Oreochromis niloticus: one gene and its partners. The protein of the gene in region 3 interacts with the protein of the main gene of each other region in a pairwise test. Links are inferred from orthologs where the notes say so. Each region holds a gene or a part of one and is shown on either strand. Other genes may lie near its edges. The genes, in order: numb, ctsk, siah1 and rad51ap1.

Region 1 (7,455 bases), on a different chromosome or scaffold from region 3:
TCCATGTGGCTCTTGATATCTGTACTTGGCATTCAGTTCAGCTCTGAGTACTTACTCAGTGACCCAATAAAGGAACCAGTTATACCTGGTGATTTGCAGACATCCTGCCCGAGGGACAGGTGTTTCTGGCAGGCTTTCCTTTCAGCTTTCTTGTCAGATTTGCTTTACACACTGTGATGGTAGAAAACAATATTCGATTTATGGAATATCAGTCAACACCTGGCTTTGTATTATGTCAGTGTTGATGTATATCCTCACTGCTTGTAAGCCAGTAGCCCCTCCCTTGTAGCTAAAATGGCTTGTTTAAGACAGTGGATGAAGTGAGGGGCTGTAAGCCCAGTATTAGAAAAATGAGGATTATTTTGAAACGTCACAGTGCAAACTGACTCCAAGAATAGTGCATCTGTAAAAAAGAAATGAACAAAGTGAATGACCATCTTTGCAACTGTTTTAGTGAAAAAGGAATATTGCTGAACTGCTCAGACTTGGTTCACATGACTGTGCATTATACTTATAATTTTAAAAAAAAGATCAGGTAACCGTGTACAAAAAGAATAAACTGTAAATTTATCCAAATTTACTGGGTAGTTTATTGGTATAATATTGCATATTATGTTTTTAAAATCCTCCTCCACAAGCAACTGAGTAAATGTAGTCATTCTCTATGACATGTATTCAAGGAAAAGTATTAAGTAGTTGAAATGCCAGATTCTTTACTGGACTTTAAGTTATTTATGAGAATAGATGTTCTGAATTAATCTTTAGCTCTGAGAAATGCAGTAACAAATTGAGTCTGTGTTATCTATGATTAAAGATTAGATTCATTATGTAGATTGATTCAGGACACCTTGTGATCTGAGGGCAAAGAATGGTGAAGGTGGGGGAAGGAAAGCAAAAAGAAAAGTTCACTTTTTCACAAATCTATATCCAGATCTGAAGCCCCTTTAAGTCTCCGGAGGTATAAAAATAAATAACTTTACACAGTATATGCACATGACTGAAAATGGCCCCTACACAGGACATCTTATCAGCAGAAACAAATTGTTTCTTCTCTCGTGGGATGGCAGGCTGCCGTGGTCTGCAGCTGGCTGTACAATGATTTTTCCACCGAGAGTGCAGAAAGTCAGTCATTCATGTGATTACTGCAATCCACCCCTGACTCAGTTCATTTCTCACTACTAACATGAACCTCCTGTGCTGATGCACATCATTTATGAGCCATGGATTAACAGGAATGAGTCAATGTGCACGAACATCTGTTAACAAACCAGCATGAAATTATTTTTTTGGTCTTTGCAGAAGTGGAAGCCAAAGGGCACAGCTCTGCAGCACATGGTCAGTGGCCTCTGCCTGGACAGTCAAACCCCGATGGGACCTCCAGTCATTTTACAGTGTCGCCCCCAGATGGCCAGCCAGTCCTGGGAGCCACAAGTCATTACCTGAGCCACAGAGAATGGGAAGAGGGAGAGGGAGGAGCAGATTCTGGACCCAGCCTGCAGAAGGAATTGGGGTGTCACGTCTGCACACTGTTTGTCGCCTTGCTGAAGGATAAAAGTAGTGGGAACTCTACTGTCTTGAAGTCAACTTCTAGCTCCTGCTCATTGTGTCTTGGGGACAAGAGTGCGCTGAAAACATTTTAAGACCCTGTTGAACAAAACATCTAAGGTCTTCTGTGTACAGTGCTTCATCCTTCCAGGATGCTTTAGTTCTTCTAAGTAATCTACGCTTTTCACAGAAAACTGTCACACATCCCACTTTTTCATTTCTGTATCTATTCTGGTCTACATGTTGCTTAAATCTGGAATAGTGAAGATTACCCGTAAAGAAAGAGTGCATAATGTACTGTTGCTAATATGCTGACTTGCACTTGACCCACTCTGAGTCTTGAGGTTTTTGGGCTGTTGAAGCATGTCTGATGACTGTGTGGACCAGGGCAGTTTTATGTGCAGTCAACTAAAATCTGAAAACAAATTTTTTTAATTGTTATTGCTGAATGGCAGTCTTGAAACCACCATGCGAAGCACTGTCAGGAAGATTATTTATTGTTTTTGCATGGTCAGACCCAAAGAATGTTTTTTTTCCTCTGTCTCTACAAGGTTTTATGTAAATATTTAAGGCAGGTAATGGCTTGTTTTGTGTAAAGTTCTCTATATGTTGTTTGAAAAAATAAAATGTGGTAATGGAGACATTGCTGTTGTAGTCATTTGAATAATAAACTGGATTACTGCACCATCACCGCTGTTTTCATCATTTTATAAAACAGCAAAAATCCTTTTTTGCATTGTACATGTTTGCATCCTAATTCACAATGGATATCCGAATAATTACATGGGGCTTATTGTAGCCATTTCAAACTTCATTTGAAGCCTTGGTGTCTACTAGAGTAGATTTACACGATTCACAGTTAAAAGTAATCATTTATTCTTTTGTGTAGCCAAACAACTGGTTTAGCTTCTCTCGCTTTAAGCCTTCTTTCTCATCATTGGTTGCCCCACTCAAACATAAAGTTTAAACAGTGGTTGTTTGGACTCAGTGCCTAACATAACCATTTTTAGACTATCCCCTGTCCTTGGTATCACAAACACTAAAGTGAGTCTGAAACGGAGTGAGCTTTTGGCTCACAGGCATTACTTTCACATACTCTAACCAGATTATTTGAAATTATCCATTTAAATATACAAAGAAAGCATTGCAGATCCACTTTCAAGTCCATTATATTTGAGACATTTATTTAAAGTATATATATCTTTAATATAAAGCAAAAAAATCAAATGGAGTTCTTCAGATGCTGATAGTTTCTATAGATTATTCTGTTACTTGGGGCCAGTGTGAAATTAGCAGTGTATTCCCTTTAAAAATAAGGGCCATGATTAGCTTCAATGTGTGCATAAATAATCTTTTTAATTAGGCAACGCAGTAAGTGGGAAAACGTGTAGACTCCTGGCTACATGACTGAAACCGTCCACCACTCATTACTCACACACACAAAGTGACCACCAGGGGGCATAATATGCTAACTTTTTTTCATTATAACGTTGGTCTCTTCATAGATGGAACCTCATGGTAAAAATAATAGATATACAAAATTAAAATGAATGTAAAAATAAAATAAAACAAGACTCTCGAAGAGTTAAGATAATTAAGGGGAAAAAATCGAGGCAGTAACAACGTGTTGGAGACTGGGAGGTCACTGCTGGGGCACTGTGAAGATTAATAAAGTTACTGTACAAGGCTGCATAACAGGCTTGACAACTTTGTGAACCAAAGTTTTTTTTTTTTTGTTTGCCTCCTTGTTGGTTTCATAACCTGTGAGGACACAATACAAGTTACACTGCAGCTTACAAGGCTTTAAAGGTATGCGAGGAATGCAACTTAATGCTGATAAACTTCTGGCCTTTTCAAGGGGTCAGTGAAGACAGAGGGAGTGGAGGAAGCCTTTAACTGGATGTATATGAAAAGAAACACGTTTCACTCGTTTAAACGTGCTTCGTTTTTGTTATGTGGTGAGAACGTGATGGCCTACACAGGAAGGATGATTGCGGTGAAACTCGGGATGGCACTGCACTGATGCCCTAATTTTTTTGTCGTTTCAGGAGTGACCTCACTGACAGGGTTATATTTGCATATCACCCAGACAATGAATTTGTAATGAAGGTGCTCGTTAAAAGTGGCGCAACTGAACGTTTGCAGTGGTGCCTTACATAGCCTGCTACATTTGAGAGGAAAATAGCACTAATATATGAAATACAAGAAAACCTAATGAGAACATAGGCATACAATTTGATACCTGCTTATATAGAAATCAGCCCCACTGTCACAAAATACGAAAAGTAAAGTGTTGCTTGCAACTTATTAATTGTAACAATAATCCATCACACACTCTTCAGGTCAGATTATAGTAGTTATATATTTACAGGTGCATCTTAATTGGAGCTAAACCCGATAGACTGAAGCGGTGTCTTACAATGTGCTTTCACGCCTGCTTCTCTTAATGACTACAAGACGAACAGCGTAAAGAGTGAAACTCAGCTTCGATCCAGGTTGCACTATCGAACATCGATCACCTTCGATGTACACGCGCCGGCCAATGGGGTCACGCGGAGGCGGTCCGTTGCTAAGGAGGAAGTTTGATTGAGGCTGTGAGTAGCAGCCATTCAGCGGCGGTGGCTGAAGCGATTGGACTGCGAGCGTCTCTCCCGACACTTTCTGTGGAATTTGAATTATTTTGGCACGGCACGGCTCGTGATACACTGGTGACGGCATACACGGGGCATCTTGAGGGTCGCAGCGGTGATCGCAGGTAGGCTGAAAGTGGGCTGTGTGCACTTTGGTAAGCATGCCCGGTGAAGCTTGTTAGCTCACCGAGCTAAGCAGCACTAGCTTGTGCCTCTCTGATGCGGCACACGGAGCTATGGCAGCTCCCATTAACACGGCATTTAGCTCTCTTGCTAACCTAACAAAATAGATGGTGTTAAGCTGTCTAACATCTTTATCTGCTGTTGGAAAATATCTGCTTCTGTCTTGCCGAATAAGCTAAGGTGTTTAAGAGGTATGGCTAACGTTAGTTAAGTAGCTAACGATTCTCAAGTTACCTGGATAACTTTAGGGGGATGGACGTTATTCAGCAAAATGACCTAAGCTCATCGGATAGCTTGCTCCTAGCACACGGTTTGTCACGACATTCACTTACACCCTATCACACGGTTCGCTTGTGTAATACCATTCTTACAAATGATATTCATCGGTAGCTTGGCAGTTTAGTGACTTGCAAGTTTCTCCCCCCCGCCCCCCTCAAAAAGTGTTAATTCACAATAAAGGTGGGTCTTCTTAACACTCATCCATCCAGACAGGTTGATCACCATGACGATACAGACTGTGACTCAGAGTCTTAGCACTCGGAATGTTCTGAAGTGTGATAATGTGTCTAAGATCGTCTTATATGGCAGGTGGATCTTTTCTTGCAAGAGAGATCAAGAAGTCCGCCATTCATGATCAGATAACCATCAGTGGTCAGATTACCTTCCACGTGGAGACTGTACTAAGATAGCCACATGATAGATTGTGTGATAGCCCCAGCAGCACAACCATACGGTTGAAACATCCTGTTTATTGGACGCTAATTCTATTTGGATTCTGTCATTAGGCATTTTATTATTGGAGCAGCGATGTAATTTGTGACCAGAAATAATACACAGGATGAGTTATTTGTTTTTGTTTGGAAAACACAGACGCAACCCTCTGGGTGATCGAGGAGAGGTGCTGAAATCCACTTATTCTGACTGTAAATATCAGATTATAGTAAAAAAGAAGGAGTTCAAAATATGTCCTGCATTGCTTATTTTATTCTGCTTACAATACTAGCACTCGGTTTCAGAGTGCTCAGAGCAGTGGGGGATGTAGTCAAGTGCTATACAGTTTATGTACTTTTTATTAGGTATTGCTAGTACCAGGTTTGACTCCCCTTTTCATTGAGAACAGAAATTCTTTGTGGCACAGATTCATAGGTTGGTTAGGTTGGACATGTTGAATGTTGTGCTCCTCACCTTTCTTCCCCATTGTGATGCTCAGTTTGAACTTGGTCTTGTCAACCAGCTCTCCCAGTTGCTGCCATGTGATCGGCTGATCATTTGTTTGCATTAACGAGTAGTTGATCAGGTGCACCTACTAAAGTGAGTGAGGAGGACATTAGGAGTGCTCGCACATCAGCTGTTGACTGCTGTCAGGCTATCTGCAGGGAAGATGACATTTACTGATGGCAGGGGATAGTTATCTGTTGTGTCATGTCAGTTTTGCACAGGCTAAATGTTTAATGATGGTGTGTTAAAGACCTGAAAGAAGCAGTAGACTTTCTGTTAGATAAGGGTTAGAAAAAGAATGTTAGGGCAGAAAATAAAAGCAAAACAATCAAAAAAGATCTGCCAAATGTATATTTTTAGCTGTGATTTTGAACTGGATGTATCAATGGATTAATTCCTAGAGAAACAGGGTAGTCTTAAATCTATTTACCATATGTAAAAAATCCTCAAAGAACTATAAAAGCAATACAGGAAAGAGAAGTAGTCATTATTGTTATTCATCCCTAGTGGTAGCACAGTAATGACCAGAGAGATGCAGTTTGTTTTGATGTCAGCTCTTATCCAGGGTTTGTTCTGCATTTACAACATTTTGGCGCCCATCAAAGACAATTTAGCCTTCACTCTAAGGAAAATCACCAGGACTGTGATTTTTGTCAATATTTTTTGCTAGTGGTCTCTAAATTACTCAGCCTTAAAATACACATGCAGACTTCTGTAAGGTGAGGTTATACAGACCCTTTTGTGGTTATGTTTGTAGCAGTCTCCAAAGGCTCATTTTGTGTTCATTTTGTGTTCTTTTTGGGGGACTGCTGCTTTTCCCTAACAGAGAGAGATGAGATTCTTTTTCCTCCAAATTTTGAAAGGGATGGCTTAGCTCATCTCACAGGATGAGGGAGGCAAGATTGGCTACCAGCCACCGAACCTACTGTGTAAGTCTGTCAGCTGTTTGGGAGAGGAGGAGAATGCAGGAGCAAGTCTCCGTCCTGAGCTCTGTGATTCACTCTGTGGGAGAATCTAGCTTTAACTCTCAGCATTTTGCTCTCTTCTCAAAGGCGGGGCCTACACTTGGCAGTGAGTTGTACATGTGAATACTGAGTAGTGATGCAACTGCAGGTAGATAAAGTTGCCGTATGATGACGATGCAGTCTAAAGCTTTACCCTGATAGGATGCTGATAGGAGAGTGATAGCTGAGCCTCTTGCTGCTCATGGTGAAATTAGAGTGAATGTCACTGTCAGCTTAGCATTCAGTCCAGCGTTACCTTGATCATTAAGAGATGACTGATATGGCAGATATGTTTTTTGTTTTCATGTTATCGTCAAACAGTCTGGATCAGGGTGATGTGTATGTGTCATCTGAGCCCGTTTCAGTGTTGTTATCCATATCCTGTGCTTTTTGTCAACACCAGTTCTTGGTGGAAGTGATGCAGCCATTAAATGAAATGCTCAGATGTTTACTTATTAAACCTGACTTGCGTGGGAATGCGAGAAAAAGGGTTTGTAAACTCATCTTCACCGAGATGCCTGCAAACCCGATTCTCTTCCAAGTGATTTTTCGTCAGGCGTGACAATGTTATCCAAACGCGTGGGTCTTTTGATGATGTAGATGTGCGAGATTATGACACGACAATGCGGACAATGCTGTCATTAACATCAAACGCTAAAGCGGAATGTGTTTTGGCGCCCTCCTGTTTTACAAGTACCAAAATGCTGCTCCCTAAGAATGCTGCTTGCAGTCTGTAAGTTTTTATTTATAAACTCTAATTGGACAGTGTGACACAAGATGAATACAATGCACCAAATTAAACTCTTCTGCTTTGAATAAGCATAGAGAAACTGACGTATATAATAAATGCCACAAAAAGGAAGCATTGTAAAAAG
Region 2 (7,912 bases), on a different chromosome or scaffold from region 3:
AACTGCAAACAACCCCTTCTTCACAGCCAGGAACAGAAACAGAGTATAGGAAATCTTTTGCTTCAGAGAAAACGAGAAAGAGGAGTGGAGGACTTTCCTCTGTTAGAAATTTCTGGCTCTGGTGATATGACGCATAAAAAGCTAACGATAAAACTAATTTAGAAAATAGGCTAGGATTTTTTTGATTCATAAGATCATTAAATAATAATTTAAATACCCATAGCTGTTGAATTAGTCCTTTAAACTGAAAAGTGTTGAATTATACTAAACAAAAAAACTAAAATTTAAAGTCATTTTAAAGGAGGATCTAAACATCTACTGGTTATGGATGAGAAAGTTGGACTGACAGTAAATTGCATGTCCTGCTTCAGTTTAGCTTCTCTGTCTGTTTAATTTTCAGCCAAAACAAAGAAGAGGAGCAACCAATGCTGCCAGGTAAGGAGGTAAAATCAGCAACAGTTTATACATAACTGATCTGATCATATAAAACAAAGTGTGACTGAGGAAGAATATTTGACATGCTTCCCTGTTAATGTTGCTGATGTTTCCTTCTGTGACTCTGTGGCTTTACCTGATCTGCTGTTAGCATTTCTGCTAAAATAACTGAAATTGGTGGAGCTTCCTTAAAAAGGGCAGCTTAGCCTGCAGACTTACAGTAGCCTGTCTTGGGCTAAGATGTGGAACATGCTGTGTATAAATAAAATATGAGTCTTTGCCACATGTGTACGCAAATGTATTAAACTATGTAAATTATAAATAACTACATGTTGCTGGGACTGGATGAGGTTTTTCTTCTCATCTTTTTAAGACAAACATAGCGTTGTGCAGTCATGGAGCAAGTTAAGGAAAACCAATGATGTTTTGAAACAGCGATATGGACATTTGATGGGAAAGTGCATAAAATGGCTAATGTTCAATAGCAAATGTGCATATTTTTAATTTCATTATTTCATTTTAGAATTAATGTATTCACCAAAGGCTTCACCAATACTGCTCTCAGTTTTGTTTTCAGGTTTAGTGTTTTGTTTGTAGAAGTCCTCTTTCAGGAAAATCAGATTTAAAAATCAAACATCTGAGAAGCATCTGCTTTTTAAAAACAAAATTTTTATATTTCCTACCTTATGTTAAAGTTTTCTTTTGTGCTATTTCTATCTCTTAATTTTATCATTGATTTTAACTCTAAAACAATAGTAACACACACTCACCAAGCCATTGTATTCTCTCCTGTGTGTGCTCTTCCACTCTTCCCACTGGGCATCCAAAGAGGATTCATCAAAACGGCCCAGAGCCGAGGTAGCCAGCAACAGCACACACACAAGTGGCAACATCCTAAAAGAACAAAAAACACAAAAACCTTCACGTTTTTTTTTTATACCAAACCCAGAAATTTTTTTATTAACAAAGTTTTATTGTTTACATGTTTACAACATTATAATTAGGGTATGTGTATGCATATTAAATATCACAATGTTATCATAATCTCTTAAGGCCCATTTATGGGAGTCCAAGAGAGGAACTACAGTCAGAATTCCTGTTCAGTAACAGTTTACCATGTGAACTTCCTGGAGAGGCTCAGGTTTGAATCAGGTCACTTCTTCATTTATAACCTTCTTGTCTGCACTCGACTGTCATAAGGCTAAAAGCTAATATATATATATATATATCTACATCTATATGCATATATATATGCTTTCCTATAATCCAGTGAAAGCATTGTGCTTCTGCAGGGGTTTACTATCATGTGGTTGGTTTCATTATCTCAATCATGCCACAACGACAACAAGTTGCACTTCTTGGGAAACAAACCCCTATGCCATGTTTTGGTTTGAGACAGGAAACTCTCAGGATAATTTTTATCTGATTTTCAACAATTTTCACTTTCGTTTTCAGGGTCAGACCGGACAATGCTGGATATAGTTTGACAGCAAACATGTGAATAACAGCTACAGGATGAAGTCTCAAACACAACTGAACTCCACTGAAAAAATGTTTTCATTCTTGCTCTCATCAGTGATTCAAACATTTTAACTGTGGATTTTTTAAGTCCAGGCAGTGTGAAATTTTTTCTCTGCCTTTGTTTCTTGGGCTTTCTGAGTCCCCCTTGTATTTTAATACATTGTGCTTCTAATCTGCATTTGTGGGCTTTGTTTCCAGTAAAGGTCGCTGACCTTGGAGTTTCTCTTAACTAAGAGCAGAAAACAATGTTTCCTTTTGCTTTGTTTTCTTTTTCTCTTTGATTCTTGCTTCCTACACTCATGGATTATACACAGCATTGTTTCACCTTTGGGTGAAAATCCATGTTTTAAATAGTGCAATCCCATGATACATGCCAGTAATTCAGCATATGTGCACAATGCTGTGTATGAGTCACAAGACTTCTCCCTGTGGTAGCTTATGTTTTGAAAATAAATTTATATTTTGCATAAAACATTAGCATTCATGACTTTTTTCACATTCCCGGATGTGTTTTTTTTTTTTTTTTTTTTTTTTTTTTTTGCATTGGTATGTCAAACTTTCCAGAACTCAAACTGGCTGCCAGTAAATGTTGCATCTCCCTGCCTCCCTCTTCCAAGAATGAATCTATTAATGTGCATTTGGGTCAAAATTGTTCTGTAATCCTAATCTTTTTTAAGACTAATTACTTTCTTAGCTGCAGAAAAGTTATGCATATATTTGAACCTACATTTATGGAAAAATCTCTTTCAAAGTCTTGAAAATCAGTTCATGTAATTAAGTAAGAGCCATGTCTAAGTTCAGTTCAGCTGAGATGTTTTTACTTAAATAGTAAAATATCAGAAAGCTGCAGTTCTTTCAAACTGATTTAAAGTTTAAAACAATAAGGTTACAACACGCACAAAACAGCAAAAAAGACTCTGTGTGTTAAGAGTGTTGGGAGATCAGCAGTAAACAAACTTACCTGAAGTCCAAAAGTCAAAAAGCTCGGAGAATTCTTCTGAGTTTGACTTGGTCTTCCTCTGCTGCTGAAGTAGGTCAGTGGGCGAGTTTATATCGGCTGAATTTTGAGGAAGTACAATGGGAGCTCCAGGTCTGGGGAGGAGTTTTCTTCTAACATGGAGGGAAATTACATCTGGTTTCACTGAATAAACCGGATGATGTCAGGTGTCAGGTTACAGAGGCATGTCTGAAAACTCCACAGAGGATGTTGCACTGCTGCAGTCTGGGTTACTGCTTGAAGAACAACAGAGGTGCTTTGATTCTTGAACAAAGTACAAAGCATGGCCATGTATATAAATCAATGTTCTGCTATAAAAGGTAATCAGTGTTAGACTTATAAATAAAGGCCAAGTTCCAGGTCCTTTTTTTTTCAAAGTGACCTTTTAGTCTGCTTTCACGTTTACTCTAACTCATGAAGAAGAAGAAGAATGCTAGGTTAACATAGATAAATGGATGGGCCTCTGAGTGATTAATTATTGAGCAAAGACATTTTTATTCCAAAAGGAAGGAAAGAAGGAAGGATGCAGCAAAAAAGGCACATGGAAAAAAACAGTATGGTACAAGTGTGTACAATGTAATGGTTGTCAGTCAATAAACTGGGTCACACAGTTTGCACTAAAAATAATTTGACGGTGGGCACCAGCAGCGGCTGTTACAAGAAAACATGTCATCTCCTGCACTGCACATTTAGTACTGCTATTATTTATTTAGCATTTAGCATGATCATTATGAATATCACTGGAACCAAACCAACACGATAAGTCAAAATATTTGCAAAGTTTTTTTTTCAGGCCTGTTGCTGAAGATTTCCAGAGACCCTTCCAGTGCAATTTCTTTTGTTTCTTGTTATGCTGAAATTTTTTCATCAGAACATTGTCTCAGAACCTTCTGACACTTGGTGTGGAAAGGCTATAAAGGCTACTATATTCCACTGATTTTTTTGAAACAGTTATGCCTTTATTGAAGTAACGTCTTTAAAACAAACACTTTTATGTTCATTGTGTGTAACTGGAAAACTATTTCTCTACTTGAAGAATAAAAACCAAACGTGCTTATTTTAGATTTTAGATTAATTATACAAGAACACAGCATGTGAAACCTGATCATGAGTGGCAGCTTGCTAAAAAAAATTCCCACAGCAGAATCCAAATAGGTCTTTGCCATATTTGTATTTGCTCCAATTTCTGTCTTTTTGGTGGTACTTCCTCTTGCTGTTAGTCATGTGTGTATATACATGAATGTGTCTTATGACTCCTATACTCATACTGTTGTCTAGCACATATCTAGACAGTGAATTAAATATAGGAGCATCCCGTGCAGCTGAGATGTCCAGTGATACATGTCCACGTTGCTGCAAGTTAATCAGACGTATAATCATGTCTGCATGAACAATAAAACATTTTTCAATGGAGAAGCCTTGCTAACACAACTGCTAGCACTAATGTTATCACAACTGCTATTACAAGTGCAGTCTCTTCATACAGAATTATTCATAATACATCAATGATTATTCATGCATATCATTACATATCAGTCTATCATGTTTTTGTGATCTGGACAAATATACATTTATGCCACCTTGAATGTGAAACACACCAAGCGTTTTGCAGGCAGTGAAACTATAAGATGCTAACATGTCATATGATTGGGCCGACTGACATTGTGGTGCAGAGCTATGAACAATAAATGACTGGACTACCTTGTTTTGTTTTTATGTAAATTTAAATCTTTATTGGTTCCTTAATTCCCTCGTCAGTATTGGCTATTTAATGCAAGTCCTTGCTCTGTACAAAACAATGATCCAGCACAACGGGAAGCTTCAGCAATTTTAAGTAAATCAGACAAGTATGTATTATGCTCTCCTGCAGCACCGCAAGGAAACAAATAAAGGAAATTAAGATACCACTTTGATTTGTTTAAATCAGACTCCTGTTGTCTCATGTTAGCTTGAGCTTAATGTGATGCTGAAAAGAGACAATTTGTATGTAGAACCACGAGTGTGGATTTTGCTCCCCATAATTTATCTTGCCATTGCATTACAGAGGGATATCTTCAGGTGCTAAAAACACTATGAATGGTCATGAATCCATTTATACGATGGACAATGACAATAATTTTTCAATCAATATCTAACTAAAACACCTTTTTACACTAAATATTATTAAAATCTAATCTAAACTCATTGAACACTGGAAGTAAATGAAGTTTCCTCTTATTCTTTTTGCCACTCTAAGATGAAAACATCAAACTTGATGGCGAGCTAGACCTGAAGAACTAATATTATTGATAGCAGTAGATGAAGCCACAATTAAGCCACTACTAATACACAAAAATATGCTAAATGGCAAAACAAGGTCAAACAATTAAAAAAATAGACACATTATTGCCTTGTTATTACTCTTGTTATTACTCTTGTTAAAGTTACATGTCATTGTTAGATATCTAGCTAAAAGCTGCTGACAGTGGATTGCAAGTCCACAGCAGTGACACCCCTTAGTAATCCATTCTTATTTTAATATGCTTATTTATTTACTCATATTTTTTTGCATTATTTGGCCTGATTTTGATATACTATATATTATATATTTTAATCTTTCTTGATAGATTTGAAATATGACTTTTGGTTTAAATAAATATATTTTCCAAGATTTTTGTAGATGTTTGCGATGTTTAGCATCCTTTCCTTTTCTTTTTTTTTCTCCTTTCTAACATAAGTAGGTTCAGAGTTGTCCTCTGTTTTGTTTGAATTAATTATCAAGTGATATTATTATAACCAAAAGCAAAAGCAAGTTTTGAATTCATGACACGAGCATGTATTAGACAAAAAGCAAATGATCCAGAATCCTGCCTTGTGGGACTCGTAAGTTTTAAAAAAAGATTTTACATGACTGATTTTAACCTACTGGGACATTTTAGTTACAGGGAAGCCATGAATATCAAAAGCGAAAATTTAAATAAGCAGAGTTTGTTCAGCAGAATCCGACGATTTACAATTTCAAAGGCTTCATGAAAAAATCAATATGCAATCGGAGACGGTATCATACAGTGCACAAATGCAGCTATCGCTCTCTCCTTTGCTGCTTCAGTTCTCCTCAAGGTCAAGAACAATCTTGGGTGCTGTGCTAAGATTCCTGTTGTGTTAAGATCTCTAGTGTGTTAAGTGCAGTGCAGGCAAGCAGCTCTAGGCAATGGCTTTCATCACTGACTGCTCACTATCTAACTGATCGATATTTTTGTATCGAAACATCTGCTCACTGGATTTCACCAGGCTGGAGAGTGCATCTTAAGCCTTTGTGAGACTCTTCATTCAAAGGTTCCTCTTTGGCTCTTTAGATAATGAGACTCATGAACGGGGCGGTATTTTGATTGATCCACCATGCAGCACTCAACCCCCATCTTAGCATCAAGGAGCATACCATCATGCAGCAGGTCATGACCTGTGTATAAATGTATGTGTTTGAGTAGATTGATTTATACAGGTATTCCTTACTAAAATGGTTACCTAGCAGTCAGTATAGCTCTGTTTTTTCCTCTTGAGTGCTAAAACAATCTATTAATATCTCCACATGGGGCTGATGCTGAGAATGCTTTTCTGCATTTATGACTTTTTCTCATGTGACCACTTGGCAGCCATTTTTTGTTCTAGTCTGACTCTTTGTTTTGAACAGTGAAAAGTACTCTGAGGCCCAGCTCAGCAGTAAATTCCTCTTGTCTTCTTTTTTTTCTTCTCCTATTAGGTCACATCTGTTTCCCATCTCAGCACATACTCACAACCCACCGCAAAACTGGAAACAGCTTAGCTCCCAGAATCCTCTGCAACTCATATGATCCTGACTCACACCATCACGGGATAGGGTTGGGTTTTGCCATTACAAAAACTGAACTGGCTCTGTAATAGCAAGAAATAGCCTTACATCACAGTGTTTAGGTACTGCAGAGTAAGCTGAGTGACATCTCATTTTCTATATGCATGTATATGGCTCTCAGAGGAGAGATTATATGCCCCTAATGCTGTTACTTGTTGAAATCCATTGCATTTGAGCACCATAGAAAATCAGGCTTCATTCAGATTCTTTTCCCCTGGCAATCTAGTGAGAAAGCCCAAGAGGCTTTAAATTCTCATCTGAACTGTGTGCACTTTTCATTGACCAGTTCAGAGATTAGTGCCGCAGACACCAAAGAGGTTTTAAAGGCTTGTTTTGATTCCAACAGATTAGACGGTGTTGTCTTTTTTCATTCCAAGCTCAAATTGTTTATAGTGGAAAAAAAAACCATTACGTGTATACTGAGTTGTTGTTGTCTGAGCCATGCATGTCCTGATTTCTCTATGAAAATACGAGTGTCTGTGTTTTACATTAAAAATGAAGAGGAGATATTTGTCATGCCCTAAAAGCTGCCATTCAGTTTTGCTGTATAATTCTGTCTAGAAATAAGAGTAGTGGCCTGAAACCAGGTGCATCTTTGTGTTACTGCTACTATTCTTCTAGAATTGTCAAATCTGTCTAAGGTATTTCTGAAAATTTGTTTCTGATGGATTTTCAGCACCTAGAGTGAAGCCAAGACTTCAGGAAGTTACTGCTCCTGGTCACAAAATAAAATCTTTTCATACTTACATTTTTAGAATTCCTTAATTAGTAAATTCGTAAATATTAAAGCTGTTGGTCTGCATGTTTTGCTACTTGTGACTGTATGAAAGCTCCCTGCTATAATAGTCCCCATTTTTGTTTCTGAATTTGATCCATTTTTTTAATGTAAATTAGGCTTTTTATGTCACCAAGAACAGAGATGAGTGTGACTCTTCTGATCAGAAGAGTCACATACTGGCGACTATAATAATAGGAATAATTTTCCAAGAGTGTTAAATCAAATTTCCTGTATTACATGCTGCAAATGAAAGAAGCCAATATGTTTCAGCACAATCTGTATAGCTCATGCAACACACTGAAAGATAATAGCA
Region 3 (8,170 bases):
AAACTCTGAAACGGCTGTAAAATCATCATGAAACTTAAACTGGAACTGAAGAAAAAGTATAATAGATATTGAAAAGATAAATACAAGTTGAATAGTTGAATGTCTTGTCTTCGTTTTAAAGTTTGAATGGTGGATCTATGTCAACGTATCTGGAAGTACATACAGTTTAAAGAGGAGTAAGTTGAAGGAGAATTTGAAGGGTCTCCCCATTGAAATACATGGGAAATTTTTGCTGAAAAAAGTTGAATAATTTTAAAAATATAAATGTTATAAATGAGAAAAATACAAGCACACTTGTCCAAAAGAAGAGGAATCTAATGGTGTTTGAATGGTTTTTCTAAGTTGAACGGTTTTGAAGGAGATAGATGCACAAAAACGTACGGAATATGATATAATAATAATAATAATAATAACTAGAAAGTGCATTTTCTGAAGAAACTGCAGTGTGAATGCTTGAATCTGAATGTATGCACTGAAATGAATTAATTGCTGAATTTTAAGTTAAAAAATAATAATGTTGAATGAGCTGGAAAATGCAGAGTTTTTAACCTGAAAACAAAAGTGCAGAACTTTTGAAAGCTGATGTTCACACAGAAGAAGTTGGAAAATAGCTGAAAAGTTTTTAAATTAAAATTTCGAAAACCTAAGAAATGAGAACAGAAAATTTAGAGTCAGAAAACATCTGAATGAATATTAAAAGGTCATATTCTTTGAATCACTGAATGACTAAAGTGTAATCCCTCCACTTGGATCCACACAGTTTTAAAGGTTTACATCTCTGAGCTTTGAAAGACTTGCTGTTGGAAAGAGAACAACGATGGCTTCGTTTTGAGGGTAAAATGATGGCTGTAGAGCAAACACTGTGGACACAGCAGCAGTTGAAAGACAAGTGTTTAAGATGAATCTTGGCACAGTGAGAGACAGAGCTCGTTAGGCAGGCAGGTGTGAGCCTGGTTGCTATAGTGACTGCACCCAATGGCTCAGTACACACGCACACAGACATGCACCTCACTTTTGCTGCTTAAAATGAACAGAAAAGTCAGGCCGAAACAAATCCTTCCCAAATTAAAAGTACAGGTCCTATTGACGAAATTCTTTCACCGTGAGCGGCAGCAATGTCCAGTCTACCTAATTCTCAGTTTTCATGCCTGTGGAGTTTATTATATGGACGTGGTGACAGTGTAAAGACACCATGCTCTTCTGATTTTCAAACGAACCTTCTGAGCCATTTTAACATTAGAGTCTATGGAGGAGTTGGAGGGAGGAGGCTGTGCTTTGGTGACATTTATGAAAGAACCATAACACCTAGTACAATAGTAAACACATTGGATGAAAGAGGACAGCGATGGCTACGTTTTGAGGGTAAAATCAGACCTGTAGAGCAAACGCTGCGGACACAGCAGCAGTTTTAAAAAAGATTTTAGGATTAATTTTTTTGCTCCTCTCACTCTGGCAGTTGAGCTGTCTCACTCTAGCCCCAACATTCCGTCCCATACACACCCATTATAAACTCTGAAACGGGTGAAAAAACATCATGAAACTTAAACTGGAACTGAAGATAAAGTATAATAGATATTGAAAAGATGAATAGAAGTTGAATAGTTGAATGTCTTGGCTTCGTTTTAAAGTTTGAATGGTGGTCCTATGTCAACGTATGTGGAAGTAGATACAGTTTAAAGAGGAGTGAGTTGAAGAAGAATTTGAAGGGTCTCCCCATTGAAATACATGGGAAATTTTTGTTGAAAAAAGTTAAATAATTTTAAAAATATAAATGTTAAAAATGAGAAAAGTAGAAGCAGTCATGTCCTAAAGAAGAGGAATCTAACGGTGTTTGAATGGTTTTTCTAAGTTGAACGGTTTTGAAGGAGATACAGTACAAAAAACGTACGGAATCTATAATAAAATAGAATAAAGATTAGAAGAACAATACTGTGAATGCTTTTACAAGCATTCACACTAATAAAGATTACAACAACAATACTGTGAATGCTTTTACAAGCATTCACACTAATAAAGATTACAACAACAATACTGTGAATGCTTTTACAAGCATTCACACTAATAAAGATTACAACAACAATACTGTGAATGCTTTTACAAGCATTCACACTAATAATGACATTAATCCACTGTAAAGCTATTTGCTAGCCACCAGATTCATGACTGCAGCGGCTGGTGAACTGTTGACATGAAATTCGTGATGTTCAGTGATATGACACTGAATTTCTTAAAGCTTCTTGGCTTAAGACAACTTGTATGCACTTTCACTGTGTCACAGTTCACTTATCAATACACATGCAACATCCATTTCTTATGATACATTTTGAACTTTTGCAAATCCACAAAGTTTAACCAGCACATGGGTTGGGATGGTGAGGGGCTGCAGAGGTGTGTGCCTGACATGGCCAAATTAAGTCTATCCTCTTGTAAAGACATCATACAGAGCTGAGAGTAAAAAAAAAAAAACTACCTGAAATTGAGTTTCGAGCAGTTTGAAGTCTGACTTTTTTAGCTCATGAGGATTTTTTATAACTTATACTTAAGTTTAATATTAGTAAACATGACTGTCTACATGAAACATTTCACAAATCACAATTAAAGAAAACTGAAGAAAAATAAAAAATAAAAGGGAATTAATTTCACACAAATTTGTTTTACATTAACCTTTGACATTCAGCTAACTTTTGCCTGCTGTTAGCTCGACATTTTACACTCATTTACACTATGATCCATATCTATGCCCAATTTTGTATCACCGCTCAACCTAACATGTATGCCTATGGATTGTGGGAGGAAACCCGAGTCCTTTCACAGGGAGTACATGCAAACTCCAACACAGGAAGGCCCCACCTGGCTGGCAGATTAAATCCTATAATGCCCTTGCTGTGAAGCAACATCACCTCTAACCACCACCCCTTCACGTTTACCATACAGACATAAGAGTGGTATTAATCTTCTTATCCAAGTCCTGCCAAGCCAGTAAATACGTGTATTTCTCCCAGATGTCCTTTCAGTGGTTTAACTAGACAAGCAGGCATGGAAGGTATATTGTAAACAATTAAATCTTCAGACAAACATAAGAGAGAAAGTTCTTGCACCACAGGTGGCATGAGAGTAGCAGCAGCATCAAAGAGACAATGCTTCAAACACCATCCGTGCTTCCAGTCTATGCAATGTATTTGCACTTTCTAGTTCGCTCATTCCAGTCAGTCAACATGAGCTGGAATTTAGAGGATGGGAGTTTAACTCCAGCCCGGTCAAGGTTTTCCACTTGACTGGGCTTCCACTCAGCAGCAAACAAGTTTTCGGAGAGGATCTTGGCCAATGCACAGCTACTAGCTTGCTTTGATTTCAGCATAACAATCTACTGCCAAACAGCATTATGTCTGGAATGTGCTGATGATTCTGCCAGCTCTCACTCACCCATTTCCTCTCCCTCGTTTCTTTTAACACTCCCCCCTTTCCCACATACCCCTCCCTTCCCATCCTCTGTCTCCATACTCTTCTCCCATTTGCATTACATTCATTATCCTTGTCTCACAACTTCCTTCCTCCCTTTCTCTCAAACTCTATTTTCTGCCTCCCCTCTCCTCTTCAAACTATCTCTTCCTTCCACATTTCTTTTCAGAGTCTTCCCTCCAATCTTTTCTCATTCTCACTTTGCTAAAGAAAAAAAACTGTGCATGTCGTTATGTCCGACCAAGAAATTCAAATTCCTCTAGCATACCAGCACAGCTTAACATTCTCATTGGTTTGGATCGCCCCACTTCCTCTTGTCTTCCTCCCCAGCCCCTCTCCCACATTCTCCTTGGTGCTCTCTCTGTAGTTTCATTCCTTTTTATTTGCTTGCTCTATTCCTCAAATTAATATAAAGAAGTGGGCTTAATGAGTGTCTCCAATGCATTCACAATTGGTAGATCGTTTTTTTCCTAGCTAAATGATGAAAAAAGGGACATCCTCATAATTGACCAAATTCAGACATTTGACATCCCACTGTCTTTTATTGTCTCTTTATAAAAATGTCATACCCTCTTTATATTTCTCCAGTACTCCGTATTTTCTCTTGAGTTCTGTTTCTACAGTAACTGAGAACTGAGCAGAGATACTCTTTTGTGGTTTTTGTTTAGAGAAGAAGTGTGCATGTGATGTATATGTGTCCAAAGTAAGGTGTCATATTTAAATGCATGTGTGATACCGTAAATGTGAGAAGTTGTGTCTGCTGTGCATGCAATGATGGTGTACTTCATATATTTACAAAGAAAATGTGTTGCACGCTGCCCGGTTACAGTAGAAGGCTTACAGCCACTGTTCACAGGAGGACAGCAGGATTATTTACAAAAGTCTGCTCTTTCTCTTACTTTTCTTGCTGTCTGAGTGTCTCTCAGCCTTCTGTTTGCTCCTGCTGCAGCTTGCCTACTGGGACAACGCACTTACATAACCAATCATTCTCTGTAATCCCAGTCTGTGCAGCAGCTCCTCCCACCCCCACCTCACACTACTATTTAGCTCCCCCTCCTACCCCTCATCCCTCCTGATGGTAGGTGGCTGTGTGTGTGTGTGTGTGTGGGGGGGGTGGGGGGGCATGGTGATGGCTTTCCTTATGTCCAGATTGCTATGAAAGAAACAACATGACCTCTAAATCTTAATCCCAGCCAGTTACATGTGTCCAGCATCAATACTGACCTCAATCTCTGCTATACCTGTCCAAAGTCTCTTTTTAAAACCCGTTGTTATTTTTTTTTTTCATTAAAACTGCTGATTTAAATGTCCAATTTCTAAGGATTTATCTGTGGGACTTGTTGGTTTAAGCATATGTGCAGTTTCCTTCACTTACATTATAGCGGAGAGGCAAGAGATCAAATTCAGTACAGATACAAGATGCAGGCGAATAGTATAATGAAGTGAAACTAAGATGAGAACCTGCTAGACGAGCCTTGATTTTAAGGAGTACAAGTGTGAGCATGCGTTGATACTCGTTGTGAACGGTGAGAATATTTTCATTTTACAGTGTGAAATAGCTTTAAAAGATATGAAGTAAATTGTGTGGGATGCATTCATATATGCGTATATTTATTTTCGTATTATTGTTTTTATTATAAAATTGAACCATTTAGAGCAACCTGCAATTCGTGCAAGGCGCGCTCCCGTGGCAAACTTAACTGTGCGCGCTCTGGAGCGGCTGGTACTTAACGCCTGCCGTCTCGTCTCTGTTCCAGGAGCTGTGCCAATGTGTACATCGAGCAAACGAGAGAACGACGACAGAGAGGGATCCTGTGTCTGTCCTGGTGCCACACATTCACCTGTTTCTCCGTGGTGAACTGAAGGACAGTTCTTTCGAGGTAAGCGGGTGTGCCGCAGAGAGTGAAACATCAGATTTTCGAGTGGCGTGTGTGTCGGTGAAAACAACAGCCCCGTTGTAGCAGACGCTAGCTTCCTTCGTTAGCGCAGTGCTAATAATGCTGGCGGGTAGCTAGCCTACTGTCCGGCTTGTTTGCTGATCTTTTAAACGCCTCTTGCCTGCAGTGGTTAACGGGTTGACATGCGTAGCGACTAAACGTTGTTGTTAACGTTTACTAACTGGTGTGAGTGGGGAAAAATGGAAGGGTACCGCTTCTTAGCATGTTCACACACCAGCTAAGCTAACAAACTCACCGACTAAGCTAGCTAGTAAGCTGTGGGATACTGCTTTACGGCAAGACGAGGCCTGTGTGCCTCGTCTTGCACACAGGAAACTGTTTGCTAGGATACGCCGTTGTCTGCCTTGCAAAGACAAGGCCATTTTGCTTTCAAAGTAGGTTAGACCAGGTCAACAGAAACTCGTCGTGGCATTGTTTTGTGTAGCACTGTTGCTGGCATAACGGCTGTAGAGGAAGTGATGACTAATGTTTACTCCAAGTAAAGGTTACAGTCGGAGTCGGCGTGTTTGACTTGTCTATTATAAGACTAATGTCAGCTCCTGGTCGTTATTGATTATTAAAGGGCTCTAATCGCCGTTGTTACATGTTCACTGCAGTTTGCATTCAACGAGCAGTTGTTGAGCGGATCACGTAGTCCTTGACGTGGACACCTGTAGATGAGTTATGAATTAGGCTGGGGACAGATGCACAGTGGTATTACAATATGACCTTTCGCTGAAGTTGTATTAAAAAAGCAAACCTCCATATTGATCACAGTTGTTACCCTACTTTACAATACCTCTGCTCAGGCTGGATGGATCTAAGCCGAGGTCAATAAAATAATAAAGCCATACCACTGTTTATGTAGCACTTTGCATACAGACTCGGAGTCCATAGCTCCTCACAGAGTAAGACGAAATAAAACGAAAATAAATTTACAAATTAAATGAACCTAGACAAAGGGATGCACAAGTTGTAAAACTCTGGGATTGTATTACAAAAAAAACAATGTGGCTGTTTAATTCTTTCAGCTTTTGACAAATTAAATACTCTCTAAACACAGACCTCCAGCCTCCGAAGTGCTGGACTTGTGTGTCATGCTTGAAACAGTATTTGAGATTTTACAGTAAGATTACACGGCAGATGTCAGTCTGGTCAGGTGTAGGGTCTCATTATCTTGAGATGCAAATTATTGGAAGTACATGATCTGCCCTGCAGTCGGAAAAATATGGTCTTTTCAGCATGTTATAAACATGAGAGATGCAGGTGTTGATTGGGAGGTGGGAGTCTGTTCCATTGCCTGTTAGTATTTGGAATTGCAATACAGGTTTTAATAATTGCAAATTGTATTTAAATATCTTCTTTTAGGATGTGGTTGATTTTAGTTCACTATAATTAATCTCCCCTCTCCTTGAAAACCAGTTATTGGGCTGCATTTAGAGGTTAGGTTAGGTACAAGTTCTGCATTGTACCTTAAAAACACTTTTTTACACACTGAAATTTTGCTTATTTTGCTGCAGACCACAAAATCAGAGTGAACCTTTTTCTTTCAGAGACCTTACACACCCATATGTATGCACTCAGCTGTTTTAACTGGTTGATAAAGTTTGTCCAGCTATAACGTGTCTTTAGTCAGTCTAACTGCATTTGGGAGGGAAAAGAAATACAGCATGTACACATGTATGTACGATCAGTCTTGGTTTCTGCTGATTGCCACAGCTAAGTGTTGGTTGTATGTAATGCAGCAGTAGAGATGAACTTGTTTTGACCCAATGGTTTTCCATAGCTTTCAGAGAGGCTTAGTCACTTGGTAGTGTAGCCCCAGGGTGGTTTTTATATGTGGATGAAAGCTGACAGATGCCAAGATGAAAGGATTTATGTCACTGATAGAAAGACTCATCCTTGTGAAATCCTAAAGCTCATTAAAATGCAAGAAAATAAAAGCTTGCTTTTTCATCTTTCATTTTACAGACTGTATTTAAGAGGTTACATCTGGAATGGGTTTGTTTATTCTGACCAATGTAAAATATTGTTAAATATTTCTTTTATCAAATCTCTAATGCAGTATTTGCTCTCAGTGGAATAGCACTTGGAGTTAAAGGCAGGAAATGTCTGAACCATCTGACCACTATGCAGCAACCAGCCATTGTTAAAACGGTGACAGAAGTGGATGTGTGGCCAATCCCTCCTGCCTTGCATGCACACGCGCTTGTTAAGGAAAAAGACTACAAACTCTATGGGATTTTTTTTTTTTTTTTGTTTTTGTTTTTTGATGACCAAGGAAACAACCTGCAGCTTATTGTGTTAGCTTACCCGGCGAGGGTTCTGCTTGTTGGCTCAGAAAATTCTCAGATGCTGGTGCTTTGTTTTACTGTACTCATCATCTTAGACACGACAGTGCCAGGTTTCCACCACAATACGTTTGGTAATCAAACATGATGATGACTGTCGTTGTGTGTAACCCTCAGCTTCAGCTCGACATAAGAAGGAATTTCCTTTTTAATTCTGCCAGTTGTCTTTAGGGACAGTCTTTTGTATTTGACTTCTGAACTGAGGATAACGTAACCACGTATGTGTGCTCACGGGCAATGTTGTAGGGGCACATACTGCTTGTTCTGATGGTTAAACATATCTTCACTGTGAATTCTAGTTTCCCACAGACTTTCCTCAGGTAACCCTCCCAGGTATGTTTGCCAGCACATTCCTGCACTCAGTATACTTGAAAGGTCAATTGCTGCTGACTGCCTTACCTCAGTACTTTTACTTGCAGTGTT
Region 4 (7,952 bases), on a different chromosome or scaffold from region 3:
ACAGAGCATTTTGTCCCCACGAGTAGCTAAAAATATGCCCGGCTTGCAGCATAATAACACAGCTTGGAGGGACAAATAACCTCTTATGGAGTACTTCTGTTACATTAACAGCAGTACTCAATCATATTCGTGCACAACACTATATTTTTTCAATGTTCCTAAAATATCTTAATAGTGCAGAAGCAGTCTAGTTTCTCTTTGCCCTGTGAGGAATGTAAATAACAACACTGTAGTCTCCGCCTGCGGAACAACCATACAGGGGGATGGGTGCAGGACTCAGAGAGCCCCACACAAACTACCACTCTGAGATGCTATAGAGCGCATAATGATGGCATTCACATCAGTGGTTGAGGGGGGGGGAAACTGCCTCCTGACCACTTCCAACTAACAAGCTGAAATTAAGACCACTGATGACCTCACAGATGCCAACTAGGCTAGTAAACCCAACTGGATGCCTTGTTCCAAAATAGCCTAGTAATGCTGCCTAGTGTTGCCAGAGAAAGAAAAAAACAATCATTATGTATTTGTTAAATATGTTACATAATCCACAAATTAAATCTAACAAGGATTAATTTGCATAAGGAAATTAGAGAAACAGTTACTCCAAATTTCCCTTGTCCCTCTGGACCTCTTTACTCATGTCTTTCATGCATAGAGCCAACGGCTGTAAAACAGTTACTCAGTTTGGGCTTTGTTACAGGGTTTGTTATGAACTAGAGCGACTATAACTGCAGTCTAAAATGCAAAATAATTATCTTTATGTTTTACATTTTTGACATTTTAACCTTGAGATTAATTCACAGACTGTACACCACTAAAACATGCAGAAATGTGCAGTATTACCTTTTTTAAAGACAAATTATCATCACACAGCTTAACAATATAAACCCATGTAACTGCCACTAAACTCACTAACAGGATATTTCTACTTTTACTTTAGTTTATGTAACAGTCTTTCCCTCTTTAGTGGTCATGTGACTTTGTTTGGGAACATATAGGATTGGAGACATGGTAATTTTAACTGTAGCAGCATATATTCTAAACATTTCCTACAGTTATAAACGGATGTATATGTGGAGAAGTGCCAGAGAAACGCGACTGTCGTTTCAGGATTAACTTCGGCATTTTAAGAGAATGCAGGGGTGTGCTCAACCTGTCATTTGTAGCGCTGGAATAAATACAATATAAGCATGTATATATGTGTGAATGGAAGCGTTATGTTGTGACCGCAGTGTTTGCATGACTGGATCTGATATTTTAGTCGTGGCTGTAGGCAGTGCTGGAGGAGTTTAGGAATGCGTGACCACAGGGCCTTTTGGCCCCGTGGATGCATGTTCTCCTCCCTTGTCTGGGTCCAAAGGAGTGGACCATCACATCCCTGGTTGTTCCTCAAGGTCCACTGTGTGACAAACCGCAGCCGACAGCCACCCACTCACAAACTAGAAAATGACAACCCTCGGGGCAGCTGCTCTTCTCTTGAAAGTGCAGTAAAAATGGAGTGATTTTACTTTCACTGCACTTTAGAGGGAGCCGTGATTGCTTCCGCCCTGAGTGTGGGCGACTGAGTAGCTGAGGACGTGTCAGGTTCATGTCAATCAGCCAGTCAGAGTCTGTACCTCTGTGAACCAGAAGGCATTATGCTGCCACCTGCTGGTAACTTGTCTGACACGACTGATACTGTCACTGCCTGCAAATAAAGAAGCAGAAATGCCTCCTCAAAGTTAACTTTCATACAAGATGATGGCTAAGATGCAGTCCAGAAACCACAAGTTTCCAGAGAGATGTTTATGATCTGAAATATATTTAGCACAGTTGACAGTTTAAAAACACTTTTTTTAGACCATTTTAAAGATATTACCCACATATATTTTTAAGTAAGTGATGTTTGTTTCTTCATTCTAGTCCCCCGCACACACCTACATCTGCACTTGTGCAAACTTAGGTTTGGCAGCCTGGTACTGTAGGTGTGGAATGAATAACTACTTTAGACTAATTTGGCATATTAAGGGAAGTAAGACATGAGGTGGCAGGTAGCATATGTTACATCCCAAAGTCTCAAAAGCTAAAGTTTCAGATCCTAAAACTTTTGCTTAACTAAGAGCTGATCTTCTGCATTAACCCCGGACTAGACTGAAGCAGTTTCTTGTCTAAATGATTTGTAAAAAAAAAAAAAAAGACGTTTGTCAGCTCTCTGTCAGTGAATTCTCCAAATTGTTGCAAGTGCACTGAAAAAGAAAAAGGTTAACCTAAGACTTCTTTTTCTGGGTGAAAATATGGCTTTTGTTTGCCTGTTTGTCTACTGGATTATAAAATTCACACAAACTGATGGAAAAGTCCAGGTCACTATATTTACTGTAAACCTGGGTCATTTAGTCTTGGGCTTAGAGGACAACTACAATCTTTGATTAGTTCCCGCATATTGAATTTTGGCTTTTTCTTTTAAACCAGATATTATTTCTGAAACAATCCCCAAAGGATTTGTGTCTCCTCCTGCAATCTTTCACTTGTCAGGCAAATATGTAAACAACTACACAATAGAACCACAACTGCAGTCTCTGAGTTCCTTTCTATTAATCATTCCCAAAGATATGATTAGATTCTTTATTTACTCTGTGTAGAAAGTAATTTGTTATATTACTCACTGTAGTTTGAGTTACTCCCCAGCATCAGCTGTCATGTACATGCAAGAGCAAAGATCCACCTTGTAAAAAGAAGGAAATACACAAAATCCTTCTTTTATCATTTAAGAATTATGACAAACAGCAACAGCCAATGAAGAAATTGGCAAAAACCAGCATAAAGAGCCCCTCACACAATAATGTGGTGATAGTGATTCTACTCTGTTAGCTTCTATGTACTACTGTGGGCTTGTTTTTCTTTAAAGAAAACAGTAACACCGGGTCCTGGTGTCTTTCACGACTAATTTTTGTGTATACATTTGAGCATGTTAGCAGTGACTAGTTGTTTTTGCACTTGTCTTATTTTTTTTCTTTTTTTAAAAGCTTGTCTTGACCTGAATGCGATGTTGTTCTAAACACGTTCACTTTCCTAAGATGAATTCTATAATTTCTCTATAGCTCCTTTTGTTTATTTCTTTTATCTGTTTATTTGTTTCTTATTATTATTATTTCTGGTATCACAGAACATATATACAGTAATATGACAATGCCAAAGCTGACAGGCAGGAGAAAAAAGGCAAAGAAAAAAAGAAAGGGGGAGAAAATATGATAAAACTGTCACGGCGAGTGAGATGAGCCGTGTGGAAATAATAAAGGAGGATCCAAACGCAGGCACTTGTAAAGGTGTGAAGGTGGTTTATTGAACACAAAATAAAGATAGACAAACGGCAAACGGAGAATGAACTAAACTACACTGGGAACAACTAACTACTGAACACGAACCTGAACATGAAGGAAGATAGACGATGGTATATGATGGTGACAGCAGGGAGAACACACAAATAGAACATGGTAGATACACAGACGGACCAGCGGCTACTACAACCGAAGACACGACTTAAATACACTCAGAGAAACACAGGGAGATTACACACAGGTGGGGGACACAGCTGGGAGTAATTAACGAGAGGAGACAAGGGAGGTAAACTGAACACACTCACATGAGACGCAGACCTTCACAATAAAACAGGGAACAAGAAAACACTACACAAGGACGCAGGCTCGACACTGAGAGGCAGACAGAATATAGCACATGGAACCTGAACTATACTAAACGTGAGACACAACCAAAGAACAAATCCTTAAACATGAATAAACAGAAACATAGAATTCAAATAATAACCAACAAATCACAAAGGTAGCAAAACGATCATTCAAGAATAAACCAAAACATAATAAACTCAGAATGCTGGGTCGAACCGCCCCAGAACCGTGACAAAAAGGGTAGAGCTCAAACAGAGAAATGCAATGGATCACTTCTGCCACACCTGTAAGAAAAAACATACAAAAAACAAAGATTATCTAGAAGAGCAAAATATGAAAAAAAGACAAGTCTTTGGTCATTTAAAGTAAAAAATGTAAATTAATATATCCATAATTCCACTCCTCAAAAGGTGTAAAAATCAGCGACAACAGGTCTGACTGAGTGATGAATACAATTTGAAATTTTTGGCTCAAATTTTTGGAGCTGTTGTCAGGAGGTTAAGAGAGTGTCCAACAGTGAGCATCTACAACCATCCATAAAACACAGTGGAGGCTGTAATGGTTTTAGGGCTGCATTTCAACCTGTTGGGGATCTTGTCAAAATTGATGTACTTATAACTGCAGAAAAGTACCGTCAGATTTTGCAATATCATCTGAAATGCATCTGATTGGCAACAGCTTAATGTTGCAGTATGGCAATAATCCCGATCTTACCTAGATAGAAAGGTCCTGGCTTTTCATATCCCAGAGCTCGGACTGAAACATTACTGAAACAGAGTGGGACCAACGAAAGACAGCCAACATCCAAAGAAGAGGTCTGAATGTCCTTCACAAAGCCTGGAGAACTATTCCCGAAGAATAAACAAGAAAGGTTGTCCAAGAAAGTTCAGGCTATGTTGAATAAAGGTGCTCATACCAAATATTGACTTTCAAACTCTGTTTTTGCCTTATATACGGCATTTACACACGTTTTAATAAACTGCTGTATCCATTCACATTTTCATATCAAACTATAGATAAAAAATGGGGCGGCACAAGATTTTTGCACAGTACCAAGCCATTTATTATTGTTAGCCGGGCGAAATTAGCAAAGCTGCGCCAAGCTATTTGAGAGAAGCAGATTCGACACCTTAAAAAACGAATTAAAAAGAAAAACAGAAAATTATCTATTGCTCTCTGATTATTTCTGATTTTAAAGATTAAAACGGGCTGCCACAAACGGACTCTTCTTCTGTATTCTTTTGCTTTGTTTAGAAATAAACGAATCTGCTTGCAGTTTCCGTCAGATTGGTAAACAACTGACGTCACTTCTGGTCTGTTCAGGCGGGCTGTTTGAGAGCTTGGGGGACCGACGTACCTCACGTTAAGCTTGTGTAACTAAAGTTATATAGTTTACGGATCTCATTCACGATAAGTGACACCTTAACTTTTTTGTAATCGTGTGGAGATCGAAAGTCAAAGTTTGGTCGACTTCACTCAGCTGGAGGGAGTAGTGCTGATTAGCCGTGTCAATGCGGTTATTGTTAGCTGACTAAAAAGCGAGCTATGGACCGACCATCTAGGTGAGCTACTGCTTTTGTCTATGCCTGGTAAACTAGATCTGTGGTGATGCTAAAAAAATGTTTTTTAATTTATTTTTTTGTTTTTTTTAATTGTTGACACACAGGAAGACAAAGACTGTGAATTACTGTGAGAGCAAGGACTTCGATGATGGTGAGTTAAATTAAAAATCTGTTATCCTGGCCCATTTGATCCACAGTGTGATGAAGAAATAGCATAGCATAGCATGTCATGTCATGTCATCATTTTATAGTCTTACAGAGGCGATGCGTGGATGTAGTGAAGGCTGACATGCATAGGGTTGGTGTGACAGAGGAGGATGCTGGGAATAGTGTGAGATGGGGCAGATCTGCTGTGGAGACGCCTAAAGGGAGCAACTGAAAGTAGAACTGCATACAAATTTAAATAAATAAATTAAAAACTTTATGCAAGTTCTACTGACTTGCTTTATGATAAAGGCTAAATGTGTGAGTGTGAGTGTGTGTGTGTGTGTGTATATATATATATATATATATATATATATATATATATATATATATATATATATATATATATAAGGGAAGGAAGGAAGGAAGGTAAAATACACAAAGAAATGTATGTATGTATGTATGTATGTATGTTGTGGGCAACAGAGTGAAAAGGTGGTGGGCCCCACCTTAAGTGAAGTATTTAAATGTTATAATAACAGGTTGATCTTAAGTATTCAGAATGAGGTTTTTCCACACGGAAGACCATCTTTCTTTCTGTTTTTTGTTTTTTTTGTTTTATTTTGAAAAGGTGAGACATCCACACGCTGTGCCAGTGGGTGTATTGATGAGCACAGAAATATTAACATCTTTATGACGGATCTGTTGGAAATTTTACAGTGATCTTTACATTTTATTTACTTTAGATGTCTTGTGTTAACTTGATAAATCGCACTCACTGCAGTGGTGTCACTTCGTGCAAAACAAAGTGGTGTGATCAGGAAAAGGACATTGCAACAAAAAACGTGCTATTAGATACTGTTGCTTTGCAGAAGACTCTTAAATTCCAGGAAAACCTGTAGTACAATAGGGTGCACATGTGTAATCCAAAGGACTCACTTTCCAGTCTTAACAGTGGTATCTTTGTCATTTGTCCTCATTTTGTGACAGATGAGGATTTTGCCTGTGTGAAGGCCCCACCCAGCAAAAAGGTCAGGGAGGATGTGAAAGAAGAACAGAAGAAATCATTAAGCAAGTCCTCCAGTCAAGAGGCCACCTCACAATCGAGCCAGAAGAACAGGTAGGTGGCGAGTTAATCTGACACTGGCTGTGACAATCAGGCTAGAGGGCTCATGAAACCTGTTGTGAATAAATGTTACCAGTTTTACTGTTGTTTAGTTTGTTTCCAGCAGAGGGCGCACCACTTGTGTATGTCCTGCAATGTGGGGAAGTTATGTTTCAGTCCGTTAGCTATCCATAGGCAGCTACAGGTTACCTATCTACCTGCAGGGGGCAGTGGTGCCACCACTCTGTGGGTTACTCTTGCTTGTGCTGCCCTAGGTTCATCCGCCATCCGCTAAGAATGTAGTTCTAAAGCACAAAAGAGCTGAAGTGAAGCCGAGCATTAAAAATAATCAAGTGTCCACTGCAGCCACTGTCTTTACTTTTCATCTTGTACCTTTGCTTTTCTTTTTTTGTGTTCCTTTGTCGCTCCTTTCCCTGTTTTGGCACACTTCTCAACTCGTCAGCATTTGGTTGATGCACAGTGTCATCCACCTTGAGCAGCATGAAGTGGTCATGTATAGGAGTTCATTTGCATTGGTTACTGTCAGTAGGCAAATATCTTAACAAATAGACACACGCACAGTACTGTAAATGTGTGCAGTGCAGTGTTTCCTTTTAGTTGATCCTCTGAAGTTACAGCTGCTGACACTAGTATAGTTTTTGCTCACTACCAATGAACTATAAGATGCATCCAAGATCCAAAATGGGCCCAACATTTAAGAATAACGTAGTATTTAGGTCAGATTCTTGTGGCTCACCTGCACTACCTTCAAGGCCCACCAGGGGGCTGCAGGCCACACTTTGGGAAACACTGGTCTTGTGGTTTGAAATTCAATTCAATTCAGTTTTATTTATATAGCGCCAAATCACAACAACAGTCACCTCAAGGCGATTTGAGGTGACTGTCCACATTCACTAATGAATTTGAACATTTTCTTATTTTAATCTCAGTCATTGTGGCCCTAGTGATGACAATATTGCACCACATGATGATTAAAAGGATTAAACTCACAGATTTTTGGTCTTTTGTTGTAGGTGTAGATATGATATGTAAAGAAATACCAGTCCAAAAGTAATACTTGGGTCTAGCACCAGTGCATTAATAGATTTTCAAAATGGGTTCATATTTTGTTGAGATGAGTAGCTAAGCTTAGGAGATAAGCAGTGGAAATTATAACTTTGATTTCATCACTGTTAGTGTAGACCGAGAGCTGCACTGGGTGTGCAGTCAGCTTGAAGGTAAGCAGTCACTTTTAAAGAATATACTGCAGACTGCGGATAAATGTTTGGGTTAAAGCCTCGCTGTGATGCTTTAACTCATTAAGGTGGTTGAATAGTAAAGCCATTCAAAGTCATTGATAAAATGATGACTGGCTAATCAGTGGGGATAATCGCTAAATCAAAACAAAATGTTGATTATGCTGAGTTAAATTTTAAAAAATGTCACCGAAAAGTAGTCTTTTCTTTTACATTTTTATCA

What was found.
Region 1: the proteins of siah1 (region 3) and numb interact in a two-hybrid assay, tested with the Homo sapiens proteins (2 studies listed by BioGRID and IntAct). The link is inferred for Oreochromis niloticus from reciprocal best matches to the Homo sapiens genes SIAH1 and NUMB.
Region 2: the proteins of siah1 (region 3) and ctsk interact in a two-hybrid assay, tested with the Homo sapiens proteins (2 studies listed by BioGRID). The link is inferred for Oreochromis niloticus from reciprocal best matches to the Homo sapiens genes SIAH1 and CTSK.
Region 4: the proteins of siah1 (region 3) and rad51ap1 interact in binary tests that used the Homo sapiens proteins (3 or more experiments, as listed by UniProt). The two-hybrid records come from large-scale screens. The link is inferred for Oreochromis niloticus from reciprocal best matches to the Homo sapiens genes SIAH1 and RAD51AP1.

What each region holds. Positions count from the first base shown.
Region 1 is NC_031983.2:21,448,088-21,455,542, forward strand, and holds the start of numb (protein numb homolog), read left to right. Parts: upstream 1-4,149; 5' UTR 4,150-4,300; intron 4,301-7,455. Other genes in the region: galnt16 (polypeptide N-acetylgalactosaminyltransferase 16), read left to right, coding at 1,300-1,443. UniProt on the Homo sapiens protein: Regulates clathrin-mediated receptor endocytosis. Plays a role in the process of neurogenesis.
Region 2 is NC_031976.2:31,038,000-31,045,911, reverse strand, and holds the start of ctsk (cathepsin K), read right to left. Parts: upstream 3,079-7,912; 5' UTR 2,918-3,078; intron 1,330-2,917; 5' UTR 1,329-1,329; coding exon 1,206-1,328; intron 1-1,205. UniProt on the Homo sapiens protein: Thiol protease involved in osteoclastic bone resorption and may participate partially in the disorder of bone remodeling. Displays potent endoprotease activity against fibrinogen at acid pH. May play an important role in extracellular matrix degradation.
Region 3 is NC_031972.2:63,381,556-63,389,725, forward strand, and holds the start of siah1 (E3 ubiquitin-protein ligase Siah1), read left to right. Parts: upstream 1-5,161; 5' UTR 5,162-5,339; intron 5,340-8,170. UniProt on the Homo sapiens protein: E3 ubiquitin-protein ligase that mediates ubiquitination and subsequent proteasomal degradation of target proteins.
Region 4 is NC_031981.2:14,194,430-14,202,381, reverse strand, and holds the start of rad51ap1 (RAD51-associated protein 1), read left to right. Parts: upstream 1-4,940; 5' UTR 4,941-5,207; coding exon 5,208-5,224; intron 5,225-5,328; coding exon 5,329-5,375; intron 5,376-6,358; coding exon 6,359-6,488; intron 6,489-7,952. UniProt on the Homo sapiens protein: Structure-specific DNA-binding protein involved in DNA repair by promoting RAD51-mediated homologous recombination.